Xenopus tropicalis: one gene and its partner. The protein of the gene in region 1 purifies or fractionates together with the protein of each later gene. This does not show direct contact. Links are inferred from orthologs where the notes say so. Each region holds a gene or a part of one and is shown in the gene's direction. Other genes may lie near its edges. The genes, in order: hdac5 and prkd1.

The links.
Region 2: the proteins of hdac5 (region 1) and prkd1 purify together in Homo sapiens (affinity purification with western blotting; 4 studies listed by BioGRID, with this or other methods). This does not show direct contact. The link is inferred for Xenopus tropicalis from reciprocal best matches to the Homo sapiens genes HDAC5 and PRKD1.

The regions. Positions count from the first base shown.
Region 1 is NC_030686.2:18,407,419-18,411,243, reverse strand, and holds part of hdac5 (histone deacetylase 5), read left to right. Parts: intron 1-617; coding exon 618-762; intron 763-897; coding exon 898-1,009; intron 1,010-1,428; coding exon 1,429-1,559; intron 1,560-1,686; coding exon 1,687-1,818; intron 1,819-2,043; coding exon 2,044-2,156; intron 2,157-2,490; coding exon 2,491-2,604; intron 2,605-2,740; coding exon 2,741-2,921; intron 2,922-3,180; coding exon 3,181-3,371; intron 3,372-3,825. UniProt on the Homo sapiens protein: Responsible for the deacetylation of lysine residues on the N-terminal part of the core histones (H2A, H2B, H3 and H4).
Region 2 is NC_030684.2:112,872,201-112,874,752, reverse strand, and holds part of prkd1 (serine/threonine-protein kinase D1), read left to right. Parts: intron 1-533; coding exon 534-801; intron 802-1,940; coding exon 1,941-2,026; intron 2,027-2,552.

The DNA.
Region 1 (3,825 bases):
ATAATGCACTGCTGCCCTGCACTAGTAAAAGTTTTGTGTTTGCTTCAGAAACATTACTAGTTTATATAAACCCTGGTGTGTAGCCATGGGGGCAGCCATTCAAAAGAAGAAAAGGCACAGGTTATATAGCAGCTAACAGTTAAACCCTGTAGAATACAATGGTGTCTTATCTGTTATCTGCTATGTAACCTGTGCCTTTTCTCCTTTTTTCCAGCTTCAATGGCTGCCCCCATGGCTACACAGCAGCTTATTTATATAAACTATAGTAGTGTTCCTGAAGCAAACACCCCAGTTTTACCAGTGCAGGGCCACAGTACGTTATATTTCAATTACTTTCATTTCTTGGTGTTACTGTTCCTTTAAATATGAAAAGTGTTAGTGAGCCACACAAGCATGATATAAGTTCTTTGGTGATGCTAAATAAGGACTGTGATTGGCTATTTGGTAGCCCCATGTGGACTGCTGGCCTGCAGGAGGCTCTGCTTGGAGTAAAACTATGTCTCTGTGCACCTACTTTAAGGCCATTGGGAGCAACATCAAAGGGAGTGGTTGCCCCCGAGCCACTGGTTGGAGATCACTGCTCCAGCATTCACCCCAGTCTTTTTGAATTTTTGCAGCAACAGCAGGAGATCATGGCCGCTAAGAGACAGCAAGAGTTGGAACAGCAGAGAAAGCGTGAAAGGCAGAGGCAGGAAGAGGCTGAAAAACAGCGACTGGAGCAGCAGCTTCTGATTCTGAGGAACAAGGAGAAGAGCAAAGAAAGTAAGAGGATTAAGGAAAGGGGATACAATTAAGCTAGGGGGCAAGGCAATATGATCAGAAGCTGCAGAACATTCATCTTATTTAGAGACATGGTGCTTAATCCTTTACTAGTGTGTAATCTCTGGTTTTTGTTAGGTGCTATTGCCAGCACAGAGGTGAAACTAAAGCTACAGGAATTTTTGCTCAGTAAGTCCAAGGAGGTACCTGGAAATGTGAACCATTCCATCCTACAGCACCCCAAGTGCTGGTAAGTGAGAACTAGAAGAGGTTTCTTGCACTCCTGAAACCTGCTTTATTCCTCCTTCATACTACATGGTATTCGCTGCTTTCTTAAGTGCTCTTCCCATCTTTATTTTCTACTTCTCTTTCCATCTAATTCTCATCTTTACTTGCACTGTCACCTCAAGTACCTGCAGTCTACTCTACATCTTCATCTCTCCTTTCCTTGGATTTTGTTACTTAATATGTTCTCACCCTCTCCTCCTCCCTTTCCCTTAGTATCTTGCTCTAATCTTTGCAACTCTGTGCCTTCTTGCTGTATTTAACATGTAGCATTACCCCATTATAACTGTATTTCACTATTTTATATGTACCAAATGTTCATTTACCTTATGGCCTCTCATCTGTTTTCTCATGGCATATCAGTGTCCCATTCTTTTGTCATAGGGGCACGCACCATACCTCACTGGACCATAGTTCCCCTCCTCAGTCTGGGTCACCAGCAACTCCCCCATCCTATAAGGTATCCCTCCTTGCAACCTGCGATGGACGTGATGACTTTCCTCTCCGCAAAACTGGTTAGTATATCCAACTTGGGTTTTATACTGGGCACCAGAGAAACTGAGGGAGAATGATCAGTGAAGAGTTTGAGGCTAAGGTTTATGTGTAGGATGTTATTCAAAATCTTATTATGTTTTCCTGCAGCCTCGGAACCTAATCTTAAGGTCCGATCCCGATTAAAGCAGAAAGTTGCAGAACGTCGGAGTAGTCCTCTGCTTCGAAGAAAGGATGGAACTGTTATCAGTGCTTTTAAGAAAAGAGCCATTGAAATCCAGGGTATGCTGGAACTGATACAATCTTTAAGCAACTCTTTACTGCTACTCTTTGCTGAATTCCTTCTACCTGCACCCACATATTTGCCTCTACTTATCCTTTATATATTGCATTCCTCACCCCATACTGCTCATACAGTCACTTTAGTTCTACTGCACTCCATTGCTTTTTTTCCTGTTCCCCTGAAACCCAAGTCTCATCGCTGAGATGTTGGTGCTCCTCCCGCAGTGTCTTCGGTGTGCAATAGTGCCCCAGGATCTGGGCCGAGCTCGCCAAACAGCTCCAACAGTGCCATATGTGAGAATGGACTGACTGGCAGCGTGCCTAATATTGCCAGCGAGGTAAGGGAGGCCTAGGGTAAAAGTTGTGGGAAAGATGTGCATGGAAGGCCCGGACTGGCAATCTGTGGCTTCTGGCAAATGCCAGAGGAGCTGCTGTAATATGCAATAGAAAGTGGACTGGTGGGGGGCTGTTAGGGCTTCTGTGTACATAGAATGCCAGGGCCTATTTTGACTACCAGTCCAGACCAGCATGGAAGCTGGAAGAGGTGAGAAGGGTCAAATGACTGGATAGTTTAAATAGTACAAGGGCTTCTGAACATGGTGGGTGAAAATTGTTTTGTGTTGCAGTGGTCACTACTTAACCAGTGACAATATTGTACTCTAAATTCTTTAGATGCTTCCTCAGCAGAGAGTTCTGGCTCTGGAAGGAGCGGGTGGACCTCTCGGGTTGTATACTTCTCCATCACTGCCCAACATCTGCCTGCAGGGGAGCACCAGCAGCCTAACTGTGAGTAGCCAGACTGAAATGGAAGTAATGTTTACAGTCTGAGAAAACCTTTGCACATTTACAGAGGGTTTTTAGAAATGTATCATTTCCAGGCATGATGACTTGACCTTTACTACTTCTAAGGTTCTCTCCTCAGGGTCAGTTTAGCCCCCAGGAAGGGGCAGAGCGTCAGAGTCTGCGCCCAGGTGGTCCCTTCATTAACACCTCTCCACTGCCTGCCCTGGATGGGGGTGAGATAAGTACCCTGACGGCACCTTCTCTCCTACAGCATGTTCTCTTACTAGAGCAGGCTAGACAGCAGAGCGCTCTCATAACAGGTGAATATCTGCTTTTCTTTTCCCTTTTCCTTTCAAGGTTTCATTTTTCTCCTTTAGTTTTTCTATCCTTAAATTCTCTCTCTTTTCATGACACCCGGTTACATTTTCTTTTCTTCATTCACCCATCTTATTATAACCTGACTTATTTCCTCAAGTTTCCTAACTTGCTTTCCTTCCGTCTTATGGAATCAAATAATATTTAGACTTTCCTTCGTCAGTCAAATTATTTTTCATTACTATTAGTTATTCTTTGTTGCAGTCCCTCTTCATGGTCAGTCCCCCTTAGTAGGGGGAGACCGAGTCTCTGGTTCCCTACGCTCTGTCACCAAAGGCACAAGGCATCGTCCCCTAAGTCGTACACAGTCCTCTCCTCTCCCGCAAAGTCCTCAGGCGCTTCAACAACTGGTTCTGCAACACCAGCATTACTTGGACCAGCAACACCTCAACAAGGTTTGTATAGACCACTCAGGACCTTAGCTTAACTGTGCAACTATGCCATTGCTCCAGAACTCTACATAAGCTTGATATAGTGCCATTATTCCACAATATTCCTGCCCTGTGTCTTAAACGTGGAGTTCTCTAAAAGCTTCTTGTTCTGTATTCCCATCCCCAAATTCTCTGCAAGCTTCTTCTACTGTTTCCTCAATGTGGAGCTCTCTAAAAGCTTTTGTTCTCTACTCCTATCCCCAAACTCTCTGCAAGCTTCTTTTTCTTTGTCCCCAATGTGGAGCTCTCTAAAAGCTTCTCAAAGCTTCTTAATCTTTACCCCTGTCCCCAAACTTTATGCTGACTTCTTCATCTATGTTCTCAATGTGGAGCTCTCTAAAAGCTCTTGTTCTCTACCTCCATCTCCAAACTCTCTGCAAGCTTCTTCTACTGTGTCCTCAACGTGGAGCTCTATAAA
Region 2 (2,552 bases), on another chromosome or scaffold:
ACAGAGCAGTATTCAGAACGGTGCCATCTTTCACACCGAAGGTGGTTTCCCCCTTTCATATAAATGAGGAAATTAATCTTCCTTCCTTGTGCCCACATCCCACTAACTCAAAGGAAAAGGCACTCCACAAATTAGATGTTGTACGGGCAGTTAAATTCTATCTGCACAGGTCCAGACACTACAGGAAGGCGGACGCTTTCCTGGTCACATATGGGGCGAACAAAGGTTCCCCAGCATCCACCCAAAATATGGGACAGCTTTAGAACGTCCCCATGGCGTCTGCACTGATAGCTAGGGCCAGTCTAGAGAAAGAAGGATTTTTAACTTACCGGAAAATCCTTTTCTAGACGGCCCGTACTGTCAGTGCAGTAAGCCCCAGCTTATAGGGAGGGGGTGGAGCCGAGAAGTTTCTTTTTTCTTCTGTCCTGCCTCCGGAAGGGAATACTTAACCCCATGGTGTCTGCACTGACAGTACGGGCCGTCTAGAAAAGGATTTTCCGGTAAGTTAAAAATCCTTCTTTATTTTCCTTTAGGTGAAGCTTTGTGATTTTGGCTTTGCTCGTATTATTGGAGAGAAGTCTTTTAGGCGTTCTGTTGTAGGCACACCAGCCTATCTGGCTCCCGAAGTGCTGAGAAACCGTGGCTACAACCGCTCACTGGACATGTGGTCTGTGGGGGTCATTATTTATGTCAGCCTGAGTGGAACTTTCCCTTTTAATGAGGATGAAGACATTCATGACCAGATCCAGAATGCTGCCTTTATGTACCCTCCAAACCCATGGAAAGAAATCTCTCCTGATGGTAAGGTTATTTGAATGCATAAATGTCATGTTTAGTTGATGGAGTTAGATGGAGATAAAGCAAGGATGAGAACTGGTTATAGTGAAGACATTCTGAGGCCTTAATAGAACTAGGACAAGAGAAAAAAGTTATTAAAAATACACTCCTCCAAAAAACAAGAGACTTTGTTTAAATTTATTATGGTTCACTTAGGCCCACTGGCAAAGAGACTCCTGTCACCTCTTGGGTTGTAAGCCATACACTGGCATAACTGGTAACAGGCTGATTTAGTCCAAATGTAGCAAACAAAAAAAAATTCACAGCTGCACTCACCTCAGGCAATTTTCTGTGGTGCAAAGTCTCCAAGACGTATGGCAGCGCCCCAACAATGTATAGAACAAAGCAGAAATAGAGACTGCTCTCAAACAAAATTTCAGCTGGGGAGCTTACCCCATTTATTATGCCAATGTACCACAAAAAAACAATGTTTCGGGCGGCACTGTCTGCCTTCGTCAGGATAACCACACAGTGAAAAAACAAAGCTTAAATAGTAATAAAACCCCACCCCTAATCAGTAGGTGAGCGATGGACAGGATAATTAAGCACCACCAATCCTATTCAGGAACACATTGTTTGTGGAAAAGTCCAGCACAAAAACATTGTGTTTTAGTGAACATTTATTTCAAATTTAGTCCCAAACCATCCAAATGCGTGTTTTCTTTTAGTGGATTAAAGGCCTTGTTGACCTTTAAATTAACTTTTAGTATAATGTAGAGAGTGCTATTCTTAGACTATTTGCAATTGGTCTTCATTTTTTATTATTAAGCTTTTAGTTTAGCAGTAGATGTGCCAGAGATAGGAGGTTTTGCAGGAAAGCAGTAATGAGTGCACCTTTCCTGTATGGTATCTTTTGTGGGGAAATGCCGCATTTATGTTGTCAGGGCAACTTATGTGTCTGAGAGCACTGAGGTTAACTGACAGATATTATCTCTGAATATGTCAGTGCTGTTTTAGAGATTTTTTCCTCATGTTTATGACAGTCTCAGCATGTCTCAGAGGAAAATCTCCATCTAAGTGGGTTCATAATAATCATTGTGTGGTTTAAAAAAAAATCTCATAAATGCTTTTTAAACATTTTTTGTTTATTTTTTAAATTTTAGCTATCGATCTGATTAACAACCTGCTGCAGGTTAAAATGAGGAAACGTTATAGTGTTGACAAGACTCTTAACCATCCCTGGTTACAGGTAAGCACCACATCAAAGAACACATTGAGGTCTACTATATGGTTTACCTATGGGTCTCTTAGCCATAACACAAGCCAGCTGTGCCATAACTATCTTTTTTCTGTTAAATGGACATTAGTTAATGTGAAAAAGATATTATACTGCCCACTACTGGAAAGAAAGGGGCTCAGAAGGCAAAAGGGGGCAGGAAGGGTGGGCTCAAAAGCAAAAGGGAGCAGAGGTTCATACTAGCCAGTAAAAGAACTGATGTTCAGCTGCTTGTAAAAGAGAAACAAAATAAATCTGCATGCAGGGAGAAAGGTATGTTATTCTGAGGGTTATACAGAGTTAGTTTAGGGACTCAAAAAAAATATGGTTTAAAGGTAAAGTAAGCCTTTAATTTTTTAAGTTAATTTTATTTTTGTAGAGTTTTTCGTATCCATTCTACTAAATTCCAAATCCCTCGGACAGGGATGCAAACTAAAAGCAGGTAAAATATTTTCCCAAAAAGCAAAAGGTGAATGATTAAACACATATACCAGGTGGT